4 linked regions of the Elephas maximus indicus genome follow. The protein of the gene in region 1 interacts with the protein of each later gene in a pairwise test. Links are inferred from orthologs where the notes say so. Each region holds a gene or a part of one and is shown on either strand. Other genes may lie near its edges.

Evidence for each region.
Region 2: the proteins of MTUS2 (region 1) and NTAQ1 interact in binary tests that used the Homo sapiens proteins (3 or more experiments, as listed by UniProt). The two-hybrid records come from large-scale screens. The link is inferred for Elephas maximus indicus from reciprocal best matches to the Homo sapiens genes MTUS2 and NTAQ1.
Region 3: the proteins of MTUS2 (region 1) and SLC25A6 interact in binary tests that used the Homo sapiens proteins (3 or more experiments, as listed by UniProt). The two-hybrid records come from large-scale screens. The link is inferred for Elephas maximus indicus from reciprocal best matches to the Homo sapiens genes MTUS2 and SLC25A6.
Region 4: the proteins of MTUS2 (region 1) and FAM110A interact in binary tests that used the Homo sapiens proteins (3 or more experiments, as listed by UniProt). The link is inferred for Elephas maximus indicus from reciprocal best matches to the Homo sapiens genes MTUS2 and FAM110A.

Annotation. Positions count from the first base shown.
Region 1 is NC_064841.1:61,236,431-61,244,028, forward strand, and holds the start of MTUS2 (microtubule-associated tumor suppressor candidate 2), read left to right. Parts: upstream 1-4,593; 5' UTR 4,594-4,834; intron 4,835-4,907; exon of another isoform or gene 4,908-5,176; intron 5,177-7,598. UniProt on the Homo sapiens protein: Binds microtubules. Together with MAPRE1 may target the microtubule depolymerase KIF2C to the plus-end of microtubules. May regulate the dynamics of microtubules at their growing distal tip.
Region 2 is NC_064833.1:19,443,645-19,451,171, reverse strand, and holds the start of NTAQ1 (protein N-terminal glutamine amidohydrolase), read left to right. Parts: upstream 1-4,527; 5' UTR 4,528-4,635; coding exon 4,636-4,724; intron 4,725-7,527. UniProt on the Homo sapiens protein: Mediates the side-chain deamidation of N-terminal glutamine residues to glutamate, an important step in N-end rule pathway of protein degradation.
Region 3 is NC_064846.1:180,063,071-180,070,162, forward strand, and holds the start of SLC25A6 (ADP/ATP translocase 3), read left to right. Parts: upstream 1-4,078; 5' UTR 4,079-4,190; coding exon 4,191-4,301; intron 4,302-6,963; coding exon 6,964-7,092. UniProt on the Homo sapiens protein: ADP:ATP antiporter that mediates import of ADP into the mitochondrial matrix for ATP synthesis, and export of ATP out to fuel the cell.
Region 4 is NC_064843.1:38,838,860-38,846,619, forward strand, and holds the start of FAM110A (protein FAM110A), read left to right. Parts: upstream 1-4,749; 5' UTR 4,750-4,990; intron 4,991-6,680; 5' UTR 6,681-6,724; intron 6,725-7,760.

The sequences.
Region 1 (7,598 bases):
GGTGGGCCCGAAGGTATGACAGCTGGGGGCTGTCAGTGAATTATGCTCAAAGGTTTGAGTGGCATCTCTTCACGGCCACCATGGCAAAAAGTATATCCACATTTTAGATAGAGCTATTGGGCCATAGAATCCCTCAATATTGCAATCGAGGCTTGAATTTTTTCTTCAGTTCTTTCAGCTTGAGAAATGCCGAATACGTTCTTCCCTTTCAGAGTTTTAACTCCAGGTCTTTGCACATTTCATTATAATACTTTGTCTTCTTGCGCTGCCCTTTGAAATCTTCAGCTCAGCTCTTTTACTTTGGCATTTCTTCTATCCACTTTAGTTACTCTACATTCATGAGCAAGTTTCAGAGTCTCTTCTGACATCCATTTTGGTCTTTTTTTTCTTTCCTGCCTTTTTAATGACCTTTGCTTTCTTCATGTATGATGTCTTTGATGTCATCTGACAACTTGCCTGGTCTTCAGTCATTAGTGCTCAGTGCATCAAATTTATTCCTGAGATGATCTCTAAAGGGAAAATTCAAGCTTTGAGTTGCAATATTGAAGGACTCTATGGGCAAAAAATTGAATGATTCAGGAAGCATCAAAGGAAGATTGAAGGAATACAGAGCCACTTACCAAAAAAAAGTGGTCAACAGCCAACCATTTCAGGAGACAGGATATGATCAAGAACCAATGGTACTACAAGAAGAAGTCCAAGCTTCACCGAAGGCATTGGCAAAAAACAAGGCTGCAGGGATTGACAGAATACCAAATGAAATGTGTCAACAAATGGATGCAATGCTGGAAGTGCCCACTCATCTATGCCAAGAAATCTGAAAGACAGCTACCTGGCCAACTGACTAGAAGTGATCCATATTTGTCCTCACTCCAAAGAAAGGTGATTCAGTGGAATGTGGAAGTTATCAGACAATATCATTAGTATCACACGCAAGTAAAATTTTGCTGAAGATCATTCAAAAATGGCTGCAGCAGCACATTGACAGGGAACTGCCAGAAATTCAAACTGGATTAGAAGAGGACATGGAATGAGGGATACCATTGCTGATGTCAGGTGGATCTTAGCTGAAAGCAGAGAATACCAGAAAGATGTTTACCTGTGTTACATTGACTGTGCATTGACAGTGTGGATCACAATAAATGATAGATAACATTGGGAAGAATGGAAGTTCTAGAACAGTTAATTGTGTTCATGTGGAACCTGTACATAGACTAAGAGGCAGTTGTTCAAACAGAACAAGGGAATACTGCATGGTTTAAAATCAGGAAAGGTGTGGGTCAGGGTTGTAGCCTTTCATCATATTTATTCTATCAGTATGTTGAGCAAATAATCTGAGTAGCTGGACTATATGAAGAAAAACGTGGCATCAGAATTGAAGGAAGACTCATTAACAACCCGTGATTTGCAGATGACACAACCTTGCTTGCTGAAAGTGAAGGGTACTTACTGATGAAGGTCAAAGACTATAGCCTTCAGTAGCTACTACATCTTAACATGAAGGAAACAAAAATCCTCACAACTGGACCAATAAGCAACATCATGATAAAAGGAGAAAATATTGATGTTGTCAAGCATTTCGTTTTACTTGGATCCACAATGAACACCCATGGAAGCAGGCGTCAAGAAATCAAACGATATATTGCATTGAGCAAATCTGCCGCAAAAGACCTCTTTAAAATCTTAAAAAGCAAAGATGTCATTTTGATGACTAAGGTGTGCCTGACCCAAGCCATGGTTTTTTTCATTCACCTCATATGCCTGCAAAAGCTGGACAATGAATGAGAAAGACCAAAGAAGATGCATTTAAATTATTGTTTTGGCAAAGAACGTTGAAAATACTGTGGACTTCCAGAATAACTAACAAATCTGTCTTGGAGGAAGTACAGTCAGAATGCTCTTTAGAAGCAAGGATGGCAAAGCTTTGTCTCATTTACTTTGCTCATGTTATCAGGAGGGGTAATCTCTGGAGAAGGACATCATGTTCTGTAAAGCAGAGAGCCAGTGAAAAAGAGGAAGACCCTCAACTAGTTGGACAGTCAGAGTGGCTGTAACAATGGGCTCAAGCACAGCAACGATTGAGGGGATAGCGTAGGATGGGGCAATGTTTTGTTCTGCTATGCGTAAGGTTGCTAGGAGTAGGAATCAACTAGATGGCACCTAAGAACAACAAATTGGTGCCTCTTTTTTTTTTTTTCTCACAGTTATGGGGTTTATTAAGGAAGTAAGAGGTTGCAATTCAGGTTCAGAAACACTCTATGATACTGTTCTCCCATCAGGACAGCCTCTTCCCAGCCATGCTCACAGGCACACCTCTCCCTGGCCCTCATGCTCTGCCCAAAGGCACTCAGCTTTCACTCTCCATGGGCTAAGAAGCCCACTGTGCTGTCTCCCGTGAGTCTCTCCTTTCTTGGTGGTGGTGAGTTCTTCTGTCCTGCCTCTGGGATGGCTCATTTCAAACCCAGCAGAATGGCAAAACTGGCCAACCCCTTTGGTGGGCCACAGTTACCCTATCACACAGTCCTGACCAATCGCTTGGGTGGAAGTTGCAAGGTCATGTGAGAAAGTCCACTCATTGTCGGAACTGAATTGATGGCATCTAACAAAAACAATTTCTTGTGAACTTACATGACAGGACTGATTCTTAGATATATGAATTCATTTAATCTTCACAATAACTTCATAAGAGAAACATTAATACAACAAATGGGCACCTCTTTATTGGAGTTGCTAAGGGTTCTGCCATCTTCAGTCGAAACTGAAAGAAAAGAGAGTGATCAAGGGGGAAAGTTGGTTCTGAGAATTTCCTTGGAATGAGCCTAGGGTGTTGTGATGCAACTTAGGGAGTATCTACCCACTTCATGCAAAAAAAGGGTGTGCTTCTGGAGAGCTACCTGGACCATGGAGAAAATGTATCACCTGCAGCTTGGGACATTTGTGAACCCAGAGATGGGAGTCTGACTCCGGCATGAAAAGCTTCAAGGAGAGAGGCTGGTCAGAGCTGCCTGTGGCCAAAGCCTGAGCAGAGTGTGCCTCAGGGACACTGGCCTGCAGTATTAGTGTGATGAGCAACAATGCCAAGTACTTTCCATGGGACAGAGTGGACACGGTGGAAGGTAGCTGGATCTGAACCATCTCAAAAGGACTGCACTCGAGAGGCTTGCCTGCCAGGGCACGGCAACACCCACCGAGGGTCTATGTGAGGTGGACCACCTGAAGGAGATGCTGAAGTGAAAGCTGCAAGTGATCAGCACCACGGCCTGATTCAGTGGGAGCTTCCCTCACCCCTGCCATCCTGGAGGATTCAGTCTTAACCCAGTCAGTGGGGAGGAGGCAGAACAAGGAAGGGAAAGACAGGCTTCTTTCCCCTTCCCCACTACAGGCGTCTGAGCTTGGGTCAGGCTGGGAGCTGGTGGGCATGGGAGGGGAATAAAGAAGGGGCAAATTGAATGAAATTAAAGTTTTGATTTGGATTTGGATTGGACTGGACTTTTTAATACCAGAGTTTTATTAACACCTGAAAGTGATAGGAAAAGCTATGAAATCTGCCCTAGATTCTTCCAGAAGAGAAGGAAGATCTGATAGAATACATTGTAAAACACAGTGCTGTGGGAGAGAAAAAAAAAGGTGCTATTTCACGTTGTCCTTTCACTAAGATCAGCTTGTTAAAAAATATAACTGATATAAAGTATTGCTTAATACCCACCAGGTTCACTGCTTAAGGAGCCCTGGGTAAGCGCTGGGCTGCTAACTTAAAAGTTGACAGCTCCAGCTCCGTGGAGAAAAGACCTGCCAACTTGGTCCCATAAAGATTACAGCCTAGGAAACCTAGGGGGCAGTTCTAACCTGTCGCATGGGGTCACTATGAGTCAGAATCGCCGTGAGAGCAACGGGTTTGGTTTTGGTCTAGGTGCACTGTTTAGGGGAAGCAAGAGCATTTCAGGTAGGGCCAGAAGACCCTGCAAGAAGTCATTAATGAAGCCATTTATTCCTGAGAACTGTCAAAAATCGCTGGAGCTCCTTGAAGAGTGTTAGGCACATTTGGTGCTTATTAGACACAGAAATAAACCTGATTCTAGAAAGAAAAGCCCGCCTTTTCCTCCAACAGTTTGTCGGAGACCGCATCTGGGCTCCTTGTTGTGAATGAGGGATCCCCCCGCCCTCCAAGCTCTTCCCAACGCTTTGCCTAAATTCCTCTTGCTTCACCCAATTCCAACCTGTTCGGTCTTCGTCCTAAGAGGAAAACAGCAGATCGCCCTCCTCGAAGCCCTCTGCCTTGCCACCCCTCTCCTCAGCCTTGCTTCTCCTTTCTCTCCCCTGGGGCCGCCTAGCCGCTAGGGGACCGCGGTGGCGCGGCTGGGTGGCTCCAGGAGCCGCCGGACGGTGCGGACGCGAGCGGAGCTGCGGGCGGAGGCTCCGAGGGGCCGGCAGAGGGCGCTGTGGCTCGCGCTGGGCGGCCTGGGTGCGCGGGGCGCGGGCAGGGAGGGGCGCGCCGGGCGGCTGGCGGCGCCGGGCCTCGGCGTGCGCGTCTCGGGCCGGCCAGGAGGGGGTGCGCGCCTCTGCTGCCCGCGCCGCCCGCCCTCCCTTCCGCAGCCGGCGGGCTGTCACCGAGGGCCGCACCGCGCGAGCGAGAGTTGCCGGCTGCGCGGCGCGCTCCGAGGCTCGGGCTCCGCCGCCGGCCCCGCGGCTCCTCTTTGTCCGGGGAGGCGGCCGAAGCGCGGTGGCTGCGACGGCCGAACCGGGCGCGCCCGGCGTCCTGCCCTGGTCCCCTGGTTATCCCCCGGCTCCCCTGCGCTGGGGCGGGGGCGGCGGCCTGGGCGGTGCCCGCGCAGAGGTGAGTGCGGGGGCGCAGCGGGGCGCTGGGTTCCCAGGCGCTCCCGGCGCTGCGTGCGCCGCGGCGGGCGTGGGTGGTGCGGGCGGCAGTTGTCAGGGGCTGTCTCCAGCTGGGGTGGCGTCCCTGGTTTCTCCACCTGCGCCCCCTCTCCTGGTTCCCTGGCAAGTTTGTCCACCCCCTTTGGCTGCAATCCGTGGCCGGTCCGCAGAGTCCATCCTCTCCGTAAATAGCAAACTGGAGCCGGGGAGGAGGAGGACGCGCGTCGGAGCCGGGTCGCCAGGAGAGGCTAGTTAAGGGCAGGAGTGGCCCCTCGGACATCTTTCTTGGCTCTTTCGGATCCAGGTGAGCACATTCTGTTCTGCGGTCTGCAGGGGTCGGTCTTGGCTCCGGTGCCTGCCTTCAGGGGACAGTGCTGAGACTGGGACAGAATTGGGAATGGTCGCAGCCGGTGCTCCGGAAAGCGCAGCGTTTTTTTCGGCTGTTCTGTCGTCATAGCAGTTATTCTTTCCTGCCCACATCACCTGCGTGGGCTGAAGTGTTGCAGCTCATTTGGCACCTTCGGGAGCTGCCGGGTTAGACTATCCCGTTTTAGAGGGGATGGTAGGTTAAACCGAGTGAAATCAGGTGTCCCCCACCCTCCTCCAGCTTTGGATAATTCGGTCTGTGTCTTCGTCTTAATTTAGTATGAATGTGTTACTTCCTTCGAGCTTTATAATGGTACGCAGTGAAGCGGTTTGCTACATCCATTTTTCATTCTGAGCCTGTGCACAGAGGAATTTCAGGCACACAAGTGATGTTACTACCATTCTATTTTAAATACAAACACGGGAAGAAGTACTCTTGGCAGGGTCCCAAAGGCGCCTGTACTCTCTGTTATATAAGTGCTTTAAAAAAATATTTGCTCTTTGGTTCAGTTATGAAAAGTGATTACCAGAGGATCTAAGAAGAGGGAGCGAAGATGTCAGAACCGTCATTTCGGCTTTAAACCAAAACTTTGCTTGAAGACAAACGTGGACCCAGCTCGAGCCACCCTTTTAAGATAGTAGGAAGCCCTTTTTTCTATAACATTAGGTAGAGACAGAGTTGCAAAGCATTAAACAATAAAGTAGGTTTTGTAAAGACTACTGCAAAACTTGATGAGAATCTTTGACTACTTATTGATGTTGCTGTGGGTGCTCTGGGGTCCGTTTGGACTCATAGCGACCCCATGTGGCAGAGTAGAACTGCCCCATAGGGTTTTCTTGGCTGTTGCCTTTATGGAAGCAGATTATTTGCTAGTAATGAAAAAAAAATTCTACAGATATCGTTTATGGGTTTCAAATTATCGAATGATTTCATTTTGACGTGGTTGTGTGCCGTTGAGTCGATTCCGACTCATAGCAAGCCCATGTGACAGAGTAGAACTGTCCCATAGGTTTCCTAGTGGTTATCTTTATAGAAACAAATTACCAGGTCTTTCTCCTGCAGAGATGCTGGCTGGTGGCTTCAAACTGCTGACCCTTTTGGTTAGCAGGCGAGTGCTTAACCGCTTTGCCACCAGGGTTCCTTTTATTTTAATATCTGATGAAAGCATAGTAATTGGGAGTTGCCAGTTATTCAAGACCTGCCCCCTCCCCCAATAAAACCTCTCTGCTCACATTTATGGTTGTTTTTTCAGGTAAAAAGAAGCCAAAAGTAGAAACTGTCAGATATACCAATATCTAGGTGCCTCCTCCCCAGGCCCTGCCATCCCCCGCCCCCATATCGTTTTACCTGGTTTGGGGTAGTGCTTTGGCATCTGCAATGTCAAAAGCTCCCATGGGGATTCTACCATGCATCCAGGGTTGAGACCCATTGGATAGCATTGTTGTTGTTGTTGGGTGCTGTCAAGTTTATTTTCGCTCACGGTGACCCAATGTGACAGAGCAGAACTGCCCCATAGGATTTTCTAGGCTGTGATCTTTACAAAAGCAGATGGCCAGGTCTTTTCTCCCGCAGAACTACTGGGTGAGTTAGAACCACCAACCTCTCCGTTAGTAACCCAGCACTTAACCGTTGCACCACCAGGGCTCTTGTTTTGGAAAACATTATTTCTTTTCATTTGTCAGTTTGTAGCCCAAGGTGTGGCTGGTAAAAGCCCAAGGTATGGTTTAAGTAAACAGTTGTTGTTAGGTGCAGTCCAGTCGATTTTGACTCCCAGCGACCCCATGTGACAGAGTAGAGCTGCCCTATAGGGTTTTCTAGGCTGTGATCTTTGTAGGAGCAGATTGCCAGGTCTTTCTGCCGTGGAGCTGCTGGGTGGGTTCAAACAGTAACTTTGTGGTTAGCAGCCGAGTGCTTAACCGTTGCGTCACCCGGGCTCAGAAATATGGGAAGAGAAAAATGGTATTGGAAAGGTGGTACGCTGAAGAATTTTACGGCATGTATACTTTCATATAAATAATGTTTCTTTTTTTTATACTTTCGTATAAACAATGTTTCTTGTTTTTTATTTTTTAACACTGCACAGAGTAATTTATCAGGGACTTGTAATTCCGTGTAGAACACTTGCCAGAGTCGTAAGCGACACGTTTCATTGTGCACAGCTCACAGCAGTGAAAGCTGAGTACTCAAAAAAAAAAAACCACACTCTTGGCCGTCGAGTCGATTCTGACTCGTGGCGACCCAGTAGTACTCTTTTATGTTTACATGATCAGAGCATCAGGTCTTATGAAAGATAATTTTTCTATTAAATTAAAAACTCGTTACGTTAGTATAGACTAGGAAATGAAGTACATAACACTTT
Region 2 (7,527 bases), on another chromosome or scaffold:
GAAGTTGAAGGAATACTGATTGAGATGTTTCAACAAATGGATGCAGCACTGGAAGCGCTCACTTGTCTATGAGAACAAATGTGGAAGACAATTTTCTGGCCAACTGACTGGAAGAGATTCATATTCATGCCCATTCCAAAGAAAGGTTATCCAATGGAATGTAGAAATTATCAAACAATATCATTAACATCACATGCAAGTAAAATTATGCTGAAGATAATCCAAAAACATTTGAAGCAGTACATCAACAGGGAACTGCCAGAAGTTCAAGCCGATTTTGGAAGAGGACATGGAACGAGGGATATCATTGCTGATGTCAGATGGATCTTGGTTGAAAGCAGAGAATGCCAGAAAGATGTTTACCTGTGTTTTACTGACTATGCAAAGGCATTTGACTAGGTAGATCATAATAAATTTTGTGGATAACATTGGGAAGAATGGGAATTCCAGAACACTTAATTGTGCTGATGAGGAACCTGTACATAGACCAAGAGGCTGTCGTTTGAACAGAACAAGGTGATAATGCATGGTTTAAAATCAGAAAAAGCGTGCGTCAGGGGTGTATCCTTTCACCGTACTTATTCAATCTGTATGCTTAGCATATAATCTGAGATGCTGGACTATATGAAAAAGAATGGTGGCATCAGAATTGGAGGAAGACTCATTAATAACCTGCTAAAAAAAAAAAAATTTTTTTTTTTTTTTATATACAGGTGGGAAACCGTGGTGGGGTTATGGTTAAGAGCTTGGCTGCTAACCAAAAGGTTGGCAGTTTGAATCCACCAGGCACTCCTTGGAAACTCTATGGGACAGTTCTACTCTGTCCTTTAGGGTCGCTCTGAGTCAGAATCAACTTGAAGGCAAAGGGTTTGTTTGTTTTTTAACATGCAAATGGGAAACCCTGGTGGTGTAGTGGTTAAGAGTTCAACTGCTAACCAAAAGGTCAGCAGTACAAATCCACCAGGTGTTCCTTGGAAACCGTATGGGGCAGTTCTACTCTGTCCTACAGTGTCGCTGTGAGTCGGAATCGACTCGATGGCAGTGGGTTTGATTTTTTTTTAGTATACAAATGACAAAACCTTGCTTGCTGAAAGTGAAGAGGACTTGAACCACTTACTAAGGAGGATAAAAGACTACAGTCTTCAGTATGGATTTCATCTCAACATAAAGAAAAAAATCATCGCAACTTGACCAATAAACAAAGATCATGATAAATGGAGAAAAGATTGAAGTTGTCAGTGATTTCATTTACTTGGATCCACAATGAATGCCCATGGAAGCAGCAGTCAAGAAATCAAACAAAGTATTGCATTGGGCAAATCTGCTGCAAAAGGCCTCTTTAAAGTGTTAAAAAATAAAGAAACTTGAAAACTAAGGTGTACCTGACCCAAAGCCATGGTATTTTCAATTGCTTCATATGCATGTGAAAGCTGGACAATGAATAGGGAAGACTGAAGAAGAATTGATGCCTTTGAATTATGGTGCTGGTAAAAAATATTTAACATACCGTGGACTGCCAGAAAAAGGAACAGATCTGTCTTGAAAGAAGTACAGCCAGAGTACTCCTTAGAAGCCAGGATGGCAAGAGTTCATCTCACGTACTTTGGACATGTTATCAGAAGGAGCCAGTTCCTGGAGAAGAACATCATGTTTGGTAGAGGGTCACTGAAAAAGAAGAAGACCCTCAATGAGGTGGATTGACACAGTGCCTGCAACAATGGGCTCAAACAGCAAGGATTGTAAGAATGGTGCAGGACCAGGCAGTGTGTTGTTCTGTTGTGCATAGGGTCTCTATGAGTCAGAACTAACTCGACGGCACCTAATAACAACAAGAATATACAGTAAAACCTACAGAATCCAGAACCCGTGTAAGATGGAAACCTGTCAGAGAAAGAAAACTCAAAAATTTTTCACCAATAGACAGCTATAGAAAAGTGGTATGACTACACTCTTTCACAGGTGGAGAACTGGCAAGACTGGGAAAAATAAGGCAGTCCCCTAGAGTTCCAGCTCTCACAGGTTTCACTGTATATTGAAGTGTGCATTGGGAACTAAGAGGCAATAAATTGATAACTGATACAAGAACCTATGCTCAAAGTCTTTAGGTCTTTCGGCCTTTAGGACTCATGAGGTTTTGAGAATCTGACTCTAGACGGCCTATAGACCAAACTGAGAATTTCAGCTTGTATAATGAGACATTCTCTGATCAGCTATATATGTTCATTGCAAATATAAACAATACAGAAGGCTATAAACTGTACAGTGAAAGTCCTTGATAATGGGCATGGATTTACCAGAGACAAATACTGTTTTAACACTTTGCTATCTTTCCTTCCATACCAAAAAAACCCCAAACCCATTGCTGTGGAGTTGATTCCAACTCATAGCGACCCTACAGGACAGAGCAGAACTGCCAGGTAGGATTTCCAAGGAGGCTGGTGTATTGGAACTGCTGACCTTTTCGTTAGCAGCCTAGCTCTTAACCACTGCGCCACAATGTTGCCAATTGCCAATCTGACACAAAGGGTCCTTGCCTTTTCCTGAGTACCAATACACGCAAAAGACAAACTTTACCTTCGACAAGCTTTATTTTGCTTGAGTCAAGCAGAAGGAGTCAGCAGGGATCTAAGCCTCTCTAAAATACTGACTTGAAGAGGGAAGCAAAGCTAGGGCTTATATGGGTTCGGTGGAGACAGTGAAGTAACGAATATTTAGTGGGCTTCCTTCAAGGGGCAGATACTTCTCAGAATGGCGGCGCATGTTAATTAAGTTGCCGGCACATCTGGAATCCAAGATGGAACCCGCTGATGTTCAAGGTGGAGTCCTCTCAGCAGCTCTTGGCATCACTTACTATGGGATTATAGTGCAGGCGCACTGATCTTTGGCACTACATCACCATCTTTGGAGGGCTAAGGAAGGGTAAACAGTGGCCGCATTTTGTTCTTCTGAGCCTGTAAAGGGGGGAGGGACTAGAAAAACACTAAGAAGGAGAAAGTAGTTTACAGGTTGTTTCAGCCTTATTTCATGTTGACATGGTGTGGTTCCTATTTATCCAACTTCTAGATGGTAATCTTTTAACAGTGCTTTCCTTCTGCCAGCACAGTTAACCCTACCTGTCTCACCAAACCAAAAAAAAAAAAAAAAACCAAACCCAGTGCATCGAGTTAATTCTGACGCATAGCAACCCTATAGGACAGGGTAGAACTGCCCCATAGAGTTTCCAAGGAGCTCCTGCCAGATTCAAACTGCCAACCCTTTGGGTAGCAACCCTAGCACTTAACCACTATGCCACCAGGGTTTCCCCTGTCTCACCAGGGCTCCAATATTGGCAGCAAACAATCCAATAGATGTTCAATATCATGGGGTTGGCAACCAGTGTCACAAAACAATGTGTATTAATTGCTTAATGAGAAACTAATCTGCTCTATAAACCTTCATCTAACGTACAAATTAAAAAAAAGAAACAAATACATGTTTAACACAAGGATTCCATGCGGACTGTTTAACTTTTTTTCTTTTTTTTTTAACTTAATATATCAAGGTATCAATACGTCTTTCCAAGTCAGTATATACAGACTTCCTAATTAAAAAAAAATTAAGGTACAATATGGTTTGATTTGGGGTGATATCCCTCTCTAAAACTGTCCTTGATGTGGTAATATTTGGAATTCCTCCTTCTCTCTTCTCCCCCAGGCTCCCAGTGACTCTAGGCTGGAAGTCCTAAAGCTTAAATTTTCACACAAAGGTTCTCTTATTTCATTTGCACACGTCGAAAGTCTTTGGCGTCTCATACAGTTCTCCGAAGTTGGCAACCCCGTTCCCGGTTGGGGAAGGGTCTCAGACACCTCCGGGAAACTCACAGCGAAGCGCCACCCAGGTTGCAGGTTTAGCAACTCCAAGCCTTCCCCTGCCGACTCCTCTCCTCAGCCGCCCGCTGGTGACCTCTCTCTGCCCAGGCATCCAGGACCCCCCGCGTTACTGTCCCTGGCAGCACCCCTGTCCCCGCTCAAGACCCCGCCCAGCAGGAACCCGCGCCGCCAGCTCCGCCCCTCTAGGAGTCCACCCTCCGGTCCGCTCTCCACCTACACAGAACAAGCACCGTCAGCATCGCCCCGGACTCCACCCACCGCTAACTCACGCCGCTCACCTCGTTCCGGATCCGCCCACCTCACCCCTGGCTCCACCCAGAAGGAACCAGCACTGTCCATCCTCCCCACCCTGAGCTCCGCCCACTGGCTCCACCACCCGGAAACTGCGCCCCCTGACTCCGCCCACCCACCCCTGACCTGCGCGCGCCGGGAACTTGCGCTGCTCTCCCCGCCCCGAGCTCTGGCCGCACAGCCCTGGGCTCCGCCCCCCTCACCCGGCTCCACCACTCGGAAGCTGCTCCGCCCACCCCGCCCCAGGCTCCGCGCGCCGAGAGGTTGGGCGGCTAGCCCTACCCAGGCCCTGCCCTGACCCCGCCCACTCTTCCTAGCCTTGACCGCTCCGCCCTGGACTCCGCCCACCCGGCCGCTGGTTCTCGCAACAAGAACGAGGGCAGGCTCCTCCCGTGGCTCCTCCCCGCGAGCCCTCTGGATCGGTGCAGCTTGTCTGCCTGAGGCCCGGCCCCGGCCCCGGCCCCGGCCAGCCGTCATGGAAGGGGATGGTCCCTCTGCCGCCGCCTCGTGGTACCAGCCGGCCGGCCCCCCGCGGGAAGCGTGTGTCTACAGCAGCTGCTATTGGTGAGGGGAGCGGGCGCAGGTCCCCGAATCTCCCAGCCTCAGCCGGGCTCGCCTCGTCCAGGCCCCTCCTCTGGAGCTCGGGGCCTCCTCTGGAGCTCGGGGCCTCCACTGGCCGGTTTTCCTGTTTCGGAGTGGAGGGAGCGGGAACGGCAGCCCTTGCCGCTGGAGTACAGCGTGGGCAGTAGGATGAGGGGGATTGGTCAGGAATGGCAGAGTCGGTGGTGGTGCCTTACTTCTGGTTGGCGGTTTTTGGCTGGACTTAAGCAGATCCTAGTGGGAACGGGGAAGTTAGAGGCTGAGGGTGGAGCGCAGAGAACCCTTGCAAGCTACTGTGTGGAATCCTGTATGGTTTCAGATCGATGTGAGGGCCATTTTAAGAGTATAGAGGCACAGAGTTCAAAGCAATTTTCCGAGGGTTACCAAGCTAATAGCAGCCAAGAATCCAGTCCATCCCCTCTTGCACTAGAAACCATGGTCTTAACCACTGTGCTGTAACAATAATAACTGTTACACTTACATTGTACTTGCTACATGCCAAGCGTTGTTCTGGGTTGTTTATGTCGTCTAATTCTTTTGAGTCTCACTGGCAGGTAATGTTATTAAAACAAACAAACAAAGCAGTTGCCATTGAGTTGATTCCCACTCTTGACCCCACATGTGTCAGGGTAGGACCGTGCTCCACAGGGGTTTCAATGGCTGACTTTTGCCAAGTAGTTTGAGGTACTGTTGTTACACCCATTTTTTAAAATGAGGACATTGAAGTACAGAGGGGGACAAGTAATTTGCCTAAGGCCACCGTCTTAGTTATCCAGTTCTATAAAAGAAATACCACAAGTGGATAGCTTTAACAAAGAGAAATTTACTTCTTCACATTAAAGTAGGCTAAATGTCCAAATTCAGGGCATCAACTCCAGCGGAGGGCTTTCTCTCTCTGTCGGCCTTCTCATTACTCTTCCCCCAGACTCGGAGCTTCTCTGTGCAGGGACCCTGGATTCAAACAACGCGCTCTGCTCCCAGCACTGCTTTCTTGGTGGTAGGAGGTGCCCTCTCTCTGCTCGCATCCTTTTCCTTTTTGTCTCTTGAGAGATAAAAGGTGGTGCAGGCCATATCCTGGGGAAACTCCTTTTATATTGAATCAGGCATGTGACCTCGGTAAGAGTGTTACAGTCCCACCCTAATCCTCTTTAATCTAAAGTTAAAATCACAGAATGGAGGACAACCACACAATACTGGGAGTCATGGCCTAACCAAGTCGACACATATATTTGGGGGACACAGTTCAATCCATGACATTCTTCATTTTGGTCCCCAAAAAATCACATCCTTGTAGCATGCAAAGCATATTTATCCCATTATATCATAGCAAGTCTTAACTCCAAGTCCAGCATCCAAAAATTCCTCTTCATCTGTGAAATGTAGAATGCAAGTTATCTGCTGACAAAGGTACAATGGCAGAACAGGCACAAGCTAGACATTTCCATTACAAATGGGAGAAACTGGAGGAAAAGAAGGGATAACAGGCACCAAACAAGTCAGCAGAACACATTATATTAGCCCTAAAGTCTTTGAAAAAATCCTCTGTTCTCTGAGACCATTTACAAAATGGCTCCGCCCTCTAGACTCTAGGTATTGGCCACACTTTCTGGATCCTGAGGGGAGGCCCCTCTGCCCTGGGCTTCAGCTCCACCTTCCACGCCCACTGGGACAGCAACTCTGCTCCCTCAGCTTTAGGCACGCCATTCTCCTAGTCCATCTGAGTGGTGACTCCGCCTTTAGAAACATCAGAGGCCATGGCTCCATCCTTTGAAATCCCAGAGGTCCTGGCCATATCTTTTGAGACTGAGGCAGCTTGGCTTCTTGTGTTCCTTGTCTGTTCAGCTTCTGCTTCCTGGTTTCTTGGCTTCTCGGCTCCTAGGGCCTCACGCCCACATCTGCCCTTCTGGGGCAAGTGTTCCAAAGCTCTGTAGCTCCACTGGTAAGTGCCCGGAGGCACCCCACTCCTCTAGGAAGCCTCTTGTGCACAGGCACTCAGCTCTCTCTCTCTGTTGGTCTGCTTCAGTGCCATCTTGCACTGGTCTCTTGGTTCTGCTGCTGCCAGGTCTCTGCTGCTGCTGGTTCTCTGCTGCAGCCACTTCCCTGCTGCTGCAGTTTCTTTGCTGCTGCCGATCCTCTTCTGCTGCTGCTCCTCTATTCATTCACAGTTTCAAAACTGCTTCCACATTTTAGGTATCCGTTAGAACAGCACCCCACTCCTGGTACCAAATTTTGTCTTAGTCATCTAGTGCTGCTATAACAGAAATGCCACAAGTGGTTGGGTTTAACAAACAAATTTATTTTCATCACAGTAAAGTAGGCTAAAAGTCCAAATTCAGGGTGTCAGCTCCAGGAGAAAGTTTTTCTTTCTGTCGGCCTTGTCATCAATCTTCCCCCAGACTAGGAGCTTCTCTGCGCAGGGACCCCGGGTCAAAAGGATGCACTCTGCTTCCGGCACTCCTTTCTTGGTGGTATGAGGTCACCTGCTCTCTGCTTGCCTCCTTTTCCTTTATCGCTTGTAAGATAAAAGGTGGTGCAGGCCACATCCCAGGGAACTCCCTTTACATTGGATCAGGGATGTGATCTTAATAAGGGTGTTACAATCCCACCCTAATCCTCCTTAACATAAAATTACAACCACAAAATGGAGGATAACCACACTACTGGGAATCAATCCCATCCAAACTGATACACATTTTTTGGGGGCCATAATTCAATCCATGACAGCCACTTAGCTTGTGAATTTAGGAATGGGGATTTATAGGCAGAG
Region 3 (7,092 bases), on another chromosome or scaffold:
CAGGGGACTGGGGTCTTCCTGCCCCCTGGGGCAGTCCCTGTAGCCACCAGGGTCTCCCGTCCTCCTCCTGGGGGCCCATTCCTTGGCTCAGTGGGGCAGCTGGTCCTTCTAGAAGTCCTCTGTCATCCTCCCCAGGGATGATCTGGGTTAGGGGCCTTCCCACGTGGGTGATGTGCCCTGGACTGTGAAAAGCCCTTGAGGCCGGGGCAGTCTCTGCCAGCCACTATGTCCCAGCCTGCTAAGTGAACTAAGCCCAGGAGGGAGCCGCTCTTCTGGGCGACTAGCCTCAAACCCAGGATCTCCTGATCAACCCAGCACCTATGGGATGGCCCAGGACACCTAGGGGCAGAGAATGGGTGCCAGCGTGGAGCGCAGTCCAACCAAAAAAAAACCAAACCCAGTGCCATGGAGTCGATTCCGACTCATAGTGATCCTATAGCACAGAGTAGAACTGCCCCATAGTTTCCAAGGAGCGCCTGGCAGATACAAACTGCCGACCCTTTGGTTAGCAGCCATAGCACTTAACCACTATGCCACCAGGCTTCCTGGAGCACAGCCCAGGAAGGCATTATTCCTAGACTCTTTCACCTTGCACAGCGGCGCTGAGGGAACAAGAAGGGCCCTGGCTGAGATGCCGGGCTGGAAGGAAGTGGAGATTGGGGCCCAAGGTGACCCAACAGCAACCCTGACTCCTGCCAGCCAAGGACAACACGAAGCAGCTGTCCCTGCTAACTGCTACCCACAACCCCGGGGTTTTGGGGACTGTTCTGTTTGCAACACAGCACTTAGTAAAAACTACCCTCTGGACTTATTCCGGGGTTCTGCGGAGGCAGCGGCACAAACCCTAAGTTATGTAACCCACTGCCGTGGAGTCGATTCTGACTCCTAGCAACCATACAAGACAGAGGAGAACTGCCCCACAGGGTTTCCAAGGAGCGCCTGGCAGATTCGAACTGCTGACCTTTGGGTTAGCAGCCAAGCTTTTAACCACTGCACCACCAGGGCTCCAACCATAAGTCATATACTATAGTGAAATCCGTGCAAGGGGGAACTCTGACAGGACTACTTTCTTTTTCTGGGTCTCCTAAGTTTTCTGCTTTCGACAGGGTGCAGTCTTACCACTTTTCTAACACTTTTTATTAGTGGGAAATATTTGAGTTTCCATTCTCGGACAGGTTTCTGCCTTACACAGGTTCTGGCCTTGACAGGTTTTCCTGTCACACCTAAGTAAATGGAGCTTGGCCCTTCCCCTCAGCCCTGCCCTGTCCAGCCTCCTCCCTGTTGTCACTAGAGACCTTTGAAGGCAGCACCTGATGGAACGCTGATTCCCAAGAATTTCACAGTTCCTACTATCCCCCTCCCCCAAAAAAGAAAAAACTGCCAGCCACATCACTGCACTACTCATTCCAAGCCATCAGCTAAAACCCAAAATCTTTTAATGTGTCTATTTATGGGAAAGAGCCCTGGTTGGTGATTCAAATCCACTCAGTGGCTCCGAGGGAACCTGCTTCCATAAACATTAAAACCTATTGCTGTGGATTCGAGTCGGACTCACAGCGATCCTGTAGGATGTGCAGAACTGCCCCACAGGGTTTCCAAAGAGCGACTGTTGGATCTGAACTGCCAACCTTTTGTTTAGCAGCCATAGCTCTTAACCACTGTGCCGCTAGGACTCCTGTAAATATTACAAACGCTCTCTTCTGTACCACACAGTCTGTGGCACTGAAGTTGATACACCACATTCCAGGGCCTGGGAGTCCCAGCTGGACCTCACACTCCAGCTCCGTGGCCCTGTAGGCTCAGGCGAGGGCAGTGATAACCGTCTCCTGGGTCTGTTCCAGCCCAGACAGGCTGAGTCTGCAAAGACGAGAAACATCTGGTGGAAACCAGTGCCCAGACAAGGTCCCTGAGCAGACACCCTGTCCCTGCCCACAGCCGGGCACACCCTCCAGGTACAGCCTCTGCCTCCAAGCCAGCTGAAGCCTGTGGAATGTGGAGGCCTCAAGCCCTGCCCCCTACCTGCCTCACAGCAGAGGTCAAGAGAGGACTAAGAAAGGCATTTAAAGGACACTGCTGCCTGGGAAGTGGATAGGCTCAGGGTGCCTGAGCTCTTGTGTCTGGTTCCCTCCCCTCACCCATTGCTTCAGGGCCTTGGACTGTGCCCCTTTTGGTGAGCAGCTGAGAATGTCCACTGTTTGCACCATCCAGGGACACTTCTGGTTTGCTACTAAGGGTCTTTCTGAGAGGACTATGTTCTCTTCGTGAAAATTCGAGTGCTTGTGCAATTTTCTGTATGTTACAGATCAATAAAAAGTTCAAAACACATCCAAAACCAAAAATTTGTTGCCGTCGAGTCGATTCTGACTCATAGCAACCCTACAGGACAGAGGAGAACTGCCCCATAGGATTTCGAAGGAGCGGCTGATGGATTCAAACAGCCGGCCTTTTGGTTAGCAATGAAATACTTAACCACTGCACCAACTCTGCCTCCAGGGCTCCTCATAACACACTGGACCGTGAAATTGGCAGGGTGGCGTGCCCTGAGCTCTTCTGTGTGGCTCCATTCCATCTGCCCATTCATTCAGTGCCAGGGACTGACAGGGAGGGAAGGAAGGAGAGAGGGAAAGAATGGAAGGAGAGAGAAAGGAAGCAAGGGAGGGAGAAAGGAAAAAAAGAAAAAAGGACCCTGCTTCTGAGCTGCTACCATTGAATCAAACTTGACTCATGGTGACCCCCCGACGTGTCAGAACAGAACGCGGCTCCACAGGGTTTTCAGTGGCTGATTTTTCTGGAAGTAGGTTGCCAGGCCTTTCTTCTGAGGCACGTCTGAATGGAATTGAACTTCCAACCTTTCAGTTAGCAGCTGAGTGTGTTGACCATTTACACCACCCAGGAACCATTCTGGGTTGCTGGTAAGGGTCTTTTCTTACCGGACTGTGTTCAGTTTGTGAAAACTCATTGGGTGATCGTGGCCCCGTGGTTAAAGCCTTTGGCTGAGAACCGAAAGGTCGGTGATTCGAACCCACCAGGTGGTCTGCACAAGAAAGATATGTCAGTTTGTAAAGATTTACAGCCTACAAAACCCTATGGGGGCGTTCTACTCTGTCCTATAAGGTCGCCATGAGTTGGAATCCAAGGGATGGCAATGGGGTTGTTTTCTTTTTTACATCAAAAAAAAAGTTCAAAGTATCTTAAAACATCTTGCCCTCACAACCTTACTTTCTGGGTGGGCGTAAGGGGTGTATGTCAGTGTGTGTAATATGGGCAGCTTATGACCTCCTGCTCATCTCCAAGTCCCCAAAGGTCAGCCCTGGGCCTTACAGGGGTAAGGTGGGGAAGAAGCCCCTCGGTGGCCTGGGGGAGGTGGGCGCCAGTGCAGGTGGAGGGGGAGCCCCGCGGGGGTGCAGCAAAGGACCCCAGGCCCCATAAAGGCCACCGGGCTGGTGCCGGGAGTTAAGGGGCGGGGGCAGAGGGCCCCCAGGTGAGCCTGGAGGGGCGACAGGCGGAGCCTCGCTCGGGGTCGGGGCGCCCTAGCGCGAGGAAGGGGCATCAGGCCGCCCCCCAAAAACGTGTTTCCCTTTAGCAGGGTCTGAGGGTTTCACTGGACGACGCGTCCGCCCCCCATTAAAAGGCTCCATCCTGGGGGAAAAGCGGGGGTCGGGAGCACGGCAGCTTCCGGTCCTTGGCCTTGTCTCCCTTCCCGGGGATGCGCGCGGGCACCCGGGCCTGGTGGAAGGCCGCGGACGGCGCGCCCCGGGGGCAGCCCCCCAAACCTCCCCGCTCCCAGTGACCTTGAAAAGGTCACTGCAGCCGAGCCCCCCGCCCGCAAGGCGCATGGGCGGGACCCGGCTCCCAGCATGCCTCGGGGCCACCGAGCGCAGGAAAAGGCGGGGCGTGGCGGCCGCGCGGCCAATGGGCAGGACGCGCGGGGGCGCGGGGCGGGGCACGCGGCGACTCCCGGCATCCCCCGGGGGCGCGGCACGCGGCGAGGGGCGGGGCGCCGGTGGGCGCGGCGGCCAATAGGCGCTGCGGGCGGGGGCGGGGGCGGGGCCTGGGCGCCTTAGCGGCTGCGCGGTAGGCGGCCCGTCCTTTCGGTCCCGGCGGCGGCGGCAGAGCCAGCGGCGCCCACCTTCCCTGCCCTCGCGCGTCCACTCCAGTTCTCCGCCCGCTCCGCAGCGCGCTCTGCCACCATGACGGAACAGGCCATCTCCTTCGCCAAGGACTTCCTGGCGGGCGGCATCGCCGCCGCCATCTCCAAGACGGCCGTGGCCCCCATCGAGCGGGTCAAGCTGCTGCTGCAGGTGGGCGGCGGGTGGGCAGGACCCCGGGCCCGGAGGGAGCCGCGCGGACAGGGCGCGGGGGACCGGGTCGGGCCGGCCGCGAGCACCGGGACCGGCACCGGAAGTGCAAGGCCGCGACCGCTTTGTCCGCGCGCCGGCGGCTTCCGGGGCGGGGCGATGGCGGGTCACGTGGGGCGTCGCCGCAGGCGTGGGGGCGGGGACGGGCTCCGGGCCGGGCGCGCATGCGCTCTGGCGCCCGGGTCGGGAAGGGCAGAGCGACTCTGGGGCGGGCATGTCGTGACCTTGGGAGGGTGACCGTCCCTGGGGAGCTTTGACCCCCAGCTGGGGCCACCTCCGCCCCCAGTGCCCACCCTTGTGCCCTGTGTCCCGGGGCAGGGGGTCCTTTAAAGTGCATTTTTCTCCTTGAACTTGAATCGTGGGTTGGGGAGCCCAAAGAAACCCCACGTGTGCACACGTCCTTCCCGAGCAAGGAGGGACGCACAGACAGTGTCTGGAAGGGGCTCCTGTGGGTTATTCACATCGGCTGTGGATTTTGACAGGTGTACGTGGGCGTAGATGATCTTGACAGTTCTTAGAACCGAAATTTGAGCTCAGAAAGTCAGTTTCTGGGTCAGTCTCTTTGACAACAGTGAACTCGTTCTGGGCGATGCAAACGGTGAAGCGCTAGACTCTTAGCCATCCGGTTGGAGGTTCTAGTCCACCCCGAGGCGCCTCGGAAGAAATGCCTGGTGATCGGCTTCCAAAAGGTCAATTATTGGAAACCCTGCAGCCCACGGTTCTACTCTGACACAACACGAGGTGTCCCTGAGTCGTGGTCAACTCCACGACAATTGATTTCCAGGAGTCCCCGGGCCGGAAAAGAGGAACCCTGGTGGCACTGCGCTACCCAAAGGGTTGGGGGTTCAAACCTACCAACTTCCACAGGAGGAGGATGGGGTTTGCTTTGGTAAAGATGTACAGCCTTGGAAACCCTATGGAGCAGTTCTGCTCTGTCCTTACCGGGTTGCTGTGAGTGGGAATCGTCTTCGATGGCAGCGGATTTGGTCTGGTCTGAGGTGGTGAAAAGGGTTACTGGGCTCAGCTGCTAAACAAAAAGTTGGAGGTTTGCATCCCTGCCCCCGAGGTCTCTTGGAAGAAAGGCCTGGTAACCTGCTTCTAAAAAACCAATCACTGGAAACCCTGTGGAGTGCAGTTCTACTCTGACACAACGTGGGTTGAAATGGGTGCAGCAGCATTTGTTCACAGGAGTTACTGTATCTGTGATTTCAGACTTGAACAGCACATCGTATGTGGGAGCTGGCAAAAGCTGTCTGTCTAGGAATTCATCTCCATCCAAATGGAATTCACTCAAAAATTAACTCTCTAAGCACAGATTTCTGTTCTGGAAACTCAGCAGTCTCTAGTCCCAAGCACACCTGTGGCGGCGGGGGCCGGGGGCGGGGGGATTCTGTTTTCATTACTGTCTTTATGCAGCCGCTGGTCCGCAGTGGACTTGTAACCTCCTTTATCTTTACTTTTGTGCTGGTCTGCTTCCGTAAAGGTGACAGCCTTGGAAACCCTGTGGGGTGGTTCTGTTACATGCTATATGGTCTGTGTGAGTAGGAAGTGGTGGCCTCGGGTTGATGTTGTTACCAAAAGTAACAAGCTACTTATAAGACGGTTGTTAGGACAGAATTTCTAAAGTTACAGTAACTGCTTATAAAGATTGGGCCTCCAGACTTATGGTTGAATAAACCACTTGCCCTTGATTCCAACTCAGGACAACCGCATGTATATCGGTGGAAATACTTACTTCCATAGGGTTTTCAGTGGCTGATTTTTCAGAAGTCGGTCACCAGGCCTTTCTTCTGAGGCACGTCTGGGTGGGTATGAAATGCCAGCCTTTTGGTGAACAGACAAACCTTTCACCATTTGTGGCACTCAGAGGCTCCCATGATGCAGGAGGGACCTAGAGATTCCCGCTTGATCAGGGGAGTTTGAACTGTCACGTCTGCGACACTGGTTTTATAAAAACACTTGTTGATTTATAAGGGCATTTCTGGGTTTAGATTCAGGCCTTGGTCTGCAGTGCCCTCACCATTCTGTCCTCTGGCTCTCAAGTGTTGTTGTTGTTAGGTGCCATTGAGTCGGTTGCGACCCTAAGCACAACTGAACGGAACACTGACCAGTCCTGCGCCATCTCGAGTACAAGACCTCCAAATCCTGCAGGCAGGGAACAGACATGCCAGTGACACTACATTTATAAAAAGTGCTTGTTCTTTGAATAAATCCCGCCCCCCCCAAAAGAAAATTCTCATCAGCCGATTTTGACTCACGGCAACCCTACATGTAAATGGTAGAATTGCTCTGTAGGGCTTTCTAGGCTGTAGTATTTATAGGAGCAGAGCACCAGGCTTTTCTCCCACAGCACCCCTGGGTGACTTAAAGTTGCCAGCCATTTAGTTAGCCGAGTACAAGCCGTTAGTGCTGCCATGGGTGTTTCTGGACAGACTGAGGCCTCACGGCGTCCTGTGCTCTGGCCCTCAGGTGTAGCCTCTGTAAACTGTCAGGACAGTGAGCAGTCAGGTCAGCGACATTAGTTTTGTAAGAACGCTCCTTTGTGATGCGTGCGGTGTCTGTGTGCGGACCGAGGGCTCACGGTGCCCTGTGCTCTGTCCCTCAGGTGCAGCACGCCAGCAAGCAGATCGCGGCCGACAAGCAGTACAAGGGCATCGTGGACTGCATCGTGCGCATCCCCAAGGAGCAAGGCGTGCTGTCCTTCTGGCGGGGCAACCTGGCCAACGTCATCCGC
Region 4 (7,760 bases), on another chromosome or scaffold:
CCCCCAGCCTACATCTGCACCACCTTGCCAGCCATATGAGTGAACCACCCCCCAAGCCTTCGGATGAGATCCCATGAAAGACCCTGAGCAAGAACTGCCAAGCTAAGCCCTTTCTCAATTCCAGCCCAACAGAAACATGTGAAAGAGGAAAAAGTATTGTTGTGTTAAGCTGCTATATTTTGTGATGATCCCTTATGCCTAGGGACTGTAACAAATTCCAATGCCCAGGCTGCAACTCAGACCCTCTATCTGTATCTCTGGGAGAGGGGCCCAGGCAACAGGACACTCATGTGCAGCCAAGGTTGAGAGCCACTGAGAGAGCTACTCAGCTTGCAGCTTCTGTTCGGGCAGCCTTCACTGAGCCTCAGCCGAACCATCTCTCCTCTGGGATCCCACAAGCCCCTGTGCTGACCCAACCTGTGCCTGTGGCCATCTCATGCTTAATGCATGTTTTGTGTCTGTCTCCCCCACTAGGATGTGGGCTCCCTGAAAACAGAGGTTTCTGGTGGGTCCTTCCAGAGAAGTTCAGACGTAAGCAAACACATACAGAGAGAACACCCTTTAAATTAAATGAAACAAAATAGAATACAGCCACAGGATGCACAGGCGACAGAGAGCTGACATCTGAGTCTGATTTCATCTCAGTTTCGAGCTGAGTGGAGAAAAAACTGCCAAGGTCAGAGTTCTGGAGGGGGCAAATCCCACACACTGAAGGAGCCACCGGCCTGTCAACAGGGCAGATGCTATTGTTGCTCAAACATGCTGGGTCAGGATAAGACCGTGAGGATTGCTGGCTCCCTCTGATCCAGGCGCAGTTAATGACAGTTTGTCCTTACTCTTAGTCCTCCACCCCAGCTTGGAGGAGGGCAAGGACTGGGATGCTGTCAACCACTCTGGCTAGGCACCAGGCTCTTAGCACATCCTTGAAGGAGGCATCATCAATACGCTGTTGGCATGTGAAGATGCCCAGAGTTCTAGAATCCAATACGCCCAAATTATCTTTCTTCATATGGCATAATTTGGGGTCCAGGGGAAATCCCTTCCCCCCTGGTTTGCTTTACTTTCTTAATCTGGGGAATGAGCCTCAGGTGGTGGTGTTTTGTTTTGCTTGGTTTGTTGTCAGCTGGAAGGCATGCAGGACAGAGGAAAGCTTTGAAGATGCAAGGGTCAGCAGGGCCTTTCTCCAAGCATCTCAAGTATATCCCAACCCCTGATTAAAGTTGAACGATGTTTCAGAGAAGAATCAGACCACAACACCATTATCATTCCTCTTTTAATAACAGGGAGGTCAAGGTCTGGGAGGGACCCTGGCAATGTGCTCACAGGGTCATATGCTTTTGTAACACTTGCCAAAGTAAGGTATTTTAACTGCGCTCTGTTAAAGCCACCATCTCTTTACACTCCAAATTCTCTTTGTGTCAGATGACGTTGGGGTGGAGTTAAGCATTTTGGGGCTTTGGCTAAGGGGACATTGAGTTGGGGACACATTTAGTTTGGGTTTAGTGGGATATATTTAGGTTGTTTCCAGTCATTTTTTTTTTAATTATTTATTTGTTTTTATTTTGCTCTAAGTGAAAGTTTACAGATCAAGTCAGTCTCTCGTACAAAAACATATACACACCTTACTATATACTCCTGGTTGCTCTCCCCCTAACGAGACAGCACATTCTACCTCTCCACCGTGTATTCCCTGTGTCCATTTAGCCAGCTTCTGTTCCCCTCTGCCTTCTCATCTCCACTCCAGACAGGAGTTGCCCACATAGTCTCATGGGTCTACTTGAGCCAAGGAACTCACTCCTCACCAGTGTCATTTTCTGTCTCATAGTCCAGTCCAATCCCTGTCTGAAGAGTTGGCTCTGGGAAAGATTCTAGTCTTTGGCTAACAGAAGGTCTGGGGACCATGACCTCCACGGTCCTTCTAGTCTCAGTCAGACTATTGAGTCTGGTCCTTTTATGAGAATTTGAGGTCTGCATCCCACTGTTCTCCTGCTCCATCAGGGGTTCTCTCATTGTTGTGAATATTTAGGATCTCTGGTGGCATAGTGGTTAAGAGCTTGGCTGCTAATCAAAAGGTCAGCAGTTCAAATCTACCAGCTGCTCCTTGGAAACCCTAGGGGGCAGTTCTACTCTGTCCTATAGAGTCACGTGAGTTGGAATGGACTTGATGGCAACAGGTTTGTTTTTTGGGGTTTTTAAAAACTTATTACTAACTGACCTGGTGTAGGAGCCCTGGTGGTGCAATGGTTAAGAGCTACAGCTGCCAACCAAAAGGCTGGCAGTTTCAATCCACTAGCCATCCCTTGGAAACCCTGTGGGGTAGTTCTACTCCATCCTATAGGGTCGCTATGACTTGTAATCAATTTGAAGGCAACGGGTTTGTTTTTTTTTGACCTGGTTTAATAATGGCTTCCAGGAATACGATTACCCCTTGAACTATCCTGACTCAATTGGTGTTGTGACGTGATAGTGCAGGGTTAGAGGTCATATTTCAATATAAATGACCTTACATCACCCACACCAGAAGTATTTGGGTGCTAGAGGAGAAGTTTGAAATGTACGTATACATGGAGCCAGAAGGTAGTTTGTGGAAAGTATTACATGGGTATGTCAAAGAGGTAATAAAGAATGTTATTTTTCCGGGTTTTGTAACATTTGCGGGATTTGTCAAGTTTTAAAATTTTGTCACTTGTGGTAGTTTCTTTTATCTTTCTAACCAAGTATTCACTTTATGACCTAATTATATATTCTTTGCTTTAAAGAATTCCCCCTAAATTGTATAAAGCTTCAGGCTGCACAAAGCCTGGATCTGCTTCTGCTCAGCTTTTTCCTGTGTCTTATAGGAGCACAGGGCCAGCCTGGCCTTCCCTCACCACTGCTGCCACTGCCACTACCAAAGAGTTCTTGCGTATTTATGAAGGAATATAACTGGCTCTGGATTCAGACAAATCTTAATTTTCTCACCTATAAAATGGGAATAATAGTAGGATCTCTTTCCTCAGATTGCAATGAAGTCATGGCTCAGATTGCAATGAAGTCATGGGAGATAATCTTTGTAAAGCCTCTAGCACAATCTAGCAGGGGATACAGTGAGGGCTAGGTTTGATATTTACCTGGTGCTCACAGTTACAGCCAGACTCCTCATTTATGACAGTTTCTGTTCTGATTTGATCAGTGCCCAAGCCAGAGTTCAAAATCATTGTTAGCTGCTGACATACATAAATGCTCCTTTCTACTCCCTGCCCCCACAAGGTATGTATACATAAGCGCTCAAACATTGACAATGCAATGAAAGAAGGAAAGACACCAGCCAGGATAGAAAACAGAGGCAGGCTCCAAATTGAGCAATGCCTTAGACTCAAACAGTGACTCACAGTTATAAAATTAACCTTGAAGAGCCCTTCATTTATTCTAACCTCATAAAAAAAGAAAACAAAAGAAGTTTTCCTGACAGTTTTAAGTATTGGGAATTTGGAAATTCCACAAAAGCACAAAGAAGAAATTAACGGCTGTTAATTTTTTTTTTATACATATATACATGTGACATCACGATTATAAACTTAATGCCCATCTATGGGGCAGTTCTACTCTGTACTACCGGGTCGCTATGAGTCGGAATTGACCGGACAGCGCTGGGTTTTTTGGTTTGGGGCATGCTGTACATACTGCTTTGAAACATATTTTAAGTTTAATGCATTCTTAGCATTTCCCCTGTATCTTGAAACGTCTTTTAACTATACCATTTTTAATGAATGCTTAACATTCTTCATCAAAAAATGGGGATAAAAAAAATTTTTTTTAATTTGATCTCAGGGAAACCCTGGTGTCATAGTGGTTAAGTGCTACGGCTGCTAATCAAAGGGTCAGCAGTTCAAATCTGCCAGGCGCTCCTTAGAAACTCTATGGGGCAGTTCTACTCTGCCCTATAGGGTCGCTATGAGTCAGAATCGACTCGATGGCACTGGGTTTGGTTTTTTTGGTTTTATTTGATCTCAGAGGATTATCCTGAGCACTGACAAAGTTATACCATGCCAAGCCGCCTGGCATGTAAAAACTCAATAAAAATCCAAAAAAACCCGTTGCCCTCAAGTTGATTCGGACTCATAGAGACACTATAGAACAAAGGAGAACTGCCCCATAGCGTTTCCAAGGAGAGAGGCCGGTGGTTTCGAACTGCCGACCTTTTGGTTAACGGCCAAACGTTTAACCAGTGGGTCACCAGAATGGACTTACATAATCAATCCCTTTCTGCTGGTCATTTAATTTGTTTCCACTGTTTTGCTATGGGGAATAACGCTGAGCTATATTAATCTTTGCTCGCATTTTGATCATTTTCTTAGGACAAATTTCAGGACTGCAGTGCACGTCATTTTAAAACGAAGCCACTCATCGCTGTGCAGCTAGAGGAACAGGGGAAGAGACTTGCCCAGGGTCACATGGCAAGTTAGCTGCAAAGGAGACTAGACACACTCCAGAAGCCCCAACCACTGCCTCTTTCAGGTGGGGACCCTCAGGACTTCCGGTCTGGGGAGCGGGGGGGAGGAGGAGGAACGGAAAGAACCACGCGCCCGGGCGACTGCAGCCGCCGGAAGAACGTGGGGCCGACAGGGAAGGGGCGGGGCCGCCGAGTCCGGGCGCTCAGTTCACGAGGTTGACGCTAAGTCGTCGCTTGGCAACGCGGGCGGCGCGGCGTTCGAACGGAAGCGGGGGACCAATCAGGATTTCCGGGGCGAACCATTCCGGCCGAGGGGGGTGTGTGTGTGTGCGGCGCGCTCACTTCCCCTTCCGCGGATCTCTGGACCTACGCTCCGGCCGGGGCCTTCGGAAAATCAAGGCCCCCGGGCCATCTAGTGAGACGGCAGCTCAAAGAGGCCCTCGGGGCTGGGGTCTTCCGGGCCGCGTTGGGAACGGTCACTCCCAGCCCGGGTCAGAGCTGTCAGCCTCTCCAAGACCCACGCTAGAGGAGCGACGACTCGCGTAGCACAGGCCCCAGGTGAGGGCGCGGGTGGTCTGGGGTGCGAGCCGGGGTCCAGCAGGGGGTTACGGTTCACTGAGCGCCTGCTGTTGGCGTCCTCACTGAATCGTACCTGCAAGAAGGAGGTGTTACCCCATGTCACAGGTGAGGACGCTGAGGCTTAAGAGAGTCAAGTGGCCCAGCCCGGAGAGGTCTGGCAGAGAATCCCATTCAGGTCTTTCCACCTCATCTCGCAGCCTAGATGTGCCTAGAAAGGCCCAGACGGCAACTGGTGGTCACTTCTTAGCTTCTTTGGGGCACGGCTCGTAGACCCCCTGGCTGGATCACCTCCTCCCTACAACTAGGCCCCTCCTCCCCGTCCCCGGCGTCTTTGGGTCTGTAGGGTGCCCCTTCTGGGCGTCTGTCTTCCCTTCCCCAGAACGCCATGGGTTGGACTAAGTGTTCATTTGGGGATCTTCTGCCTGCATTCTTTCTTACAACAAAAATTTATTGGCTTCACAGCCCTGCCCTCCCCCTTGCCTGTTTTGTCTCAGTAGCATTTGCCCCATCTGTTGTCCTATCTATTTCACTTATTAGTGAGTTTATTGTCTTCTCCTCTGGAATGTGACACAGGGCAGGGGCTAGAATGAGGCAAGTGAGGCACTCAACCTCTAGTGCAAAATTTAGGGGTGCCCAAAAGCTCAGTAATTAAGATAAATAGTATTTCAGTGAACCATTTTTAAAAGTAAAAATGCAGTGCATGCTAAGCAAAATATCACTGTTACAGGGTTAGTAACAGTGCTGTGCCAGGCAATATTGGATCCAAAAGGAAGAATTAGTATTCTGTCTTTATAATCACAGAAATGATGTAAATAACCACATATCCAAATGTAAAATTTCAGTGTGACAAGGAATATAATAAGAAGGAGGAGAGAGCCATGAGGGAGTTTCACTGGGGGCCCTGAGCTAGTCTAGGCATGGTCAGGGAGGGTTCCTGGGAAAAAGGGATGTTTGAACTGAGATCTGAAGGTCAGGGAAGCTTTAGGAGGAGAACAAGTGGTGGGCAGGTGAGAACATCCCATGCAGAGGGAGCATCAAGGGCAAAAGTCCTGAGGTGGGAGCAAGCTTGAAGAGGGTGGAGATGTGGCCAGGAAGAAGAGGAGCGTGGTCTCCAGGGCAGGCCAGAGCTCTGTCCCTGGCATTTGGGCCCTTTGAGAATTATTGCTTAAGGGGTACCTTGTAGGGTTGCTATGAGTTGGAATCGACCCTAGTAGCTTTCTTTCAAGTTCCTTGGCGTTTTGTTTGTTTATTTAAGTGTTGTGTAAGCATCACCACTATTTATTTCCAAAGCTTTTTCATCATCCCAAACAGAAACCCTGTACCCATTAAGCAATAACTCCCCATGTCCTGCCTCCTCCCAGCCCCTGGTAATCTCTAATCTACTTTCTGACTCTGTCCATTTGCCTATTCTAGGTATTTCATATAAGGGGGATCACACAATATTTGCTGTTTTGTGTCTGGCTTATTTTCAAGGTTCTTCCATGTCATAGCATGTATCAGAACTTTATTTTTCTTTATGGCTGAGTAATATTTCATTGTATGTGTATACCACATTTGTTTATCTGTTCCTCTGTTGATGGACACTGAGTTGTTTCCATCTTTTGGCTACTGTGAATAACACTACAGTGAACATTGGTGTACAAGTATCTGCTGGAATTCTTGCTTTCAGGTGTCTTGGTTATACACCTAGGAGTGGAATTGCTGGGTCATAAGGTAAGGTCATATTTAATTGTTTTACTGCATGTTATTCTGGTGGGAGGTCAACTTGCATGGCTTCCATGGAGTGTAGTTCCACCATCTCTGTCACAATTACAAGTGCTGTCCGCTGACTCAGCTGTCTCACTTCAGGTATTTCTTCTTGGCAAAATGACATAGGTACAGTGACACTGCAGCATGGTTTGTAATAGGAGGGACTGGACACACACTGGGTGGTGCAAATGCTTAACATGCTTGGCTACCAACTGGAAGGTTGGCCTTTTGAATCTATCCAGAGGCACCTCACAGGAAAGGCCTGGTAATCTACTTCCAACAAATCAGCCATTGAAAATCCTGTGGAGCACAGTTCTACACTGAAACACATGGGGTCACCATGAGTAGGCGTTGCCATGAGCGGGAATCGCCACAAACGAGAGTCAACTCAATGGCAAGTGGAACTGGTAGGCACAGTGCAGCTGTGAAAAAGGAGAGGCTGCTCTCTGGGTATTGATGGCGTACCCAGAACAACATATATTGTTGAGGAAGAAGGGCAAGGTTGAAAACAGTACACAAAGCCTGTTGCCATTTGTGTAAAAAAAGAGAAAACATGTATGTCCATACTTGCTTGTATCTGCCTAAAATTTCCCTGGAAAGACACACAACTACCTGGTCACAGTGGTGCCTACAGGGAGGGGAACTGGGTGGCTCCCCAGGACAAGGGCAGGAGAGAATTTTTTTTTACTCCATTCCTTTTTATAGGTTTTGAATTTTGAGCCATGTGAATATATCACCTGGTTGAAAAATGATACATATGTGATCACTATATATTATATATCTAATTGTGAGAACCACTGCCATATCTGTGGTCTGTCACTGACTTGCTGGGTGACCTTGGGCCAGTTTCTTCACAGCTCTGGGCCAAGGTAAGAAGCCATGATAGTGAGCCCCCAAAGGGTCAGAGGGCAATCAGGACAGAAGTGGGCTGTGGGTCTGCTTCACTTCTACCACCCCCATCCTCTGTGCCAGGCCCTTCCCTAAGGGTTTGCATGTGGCA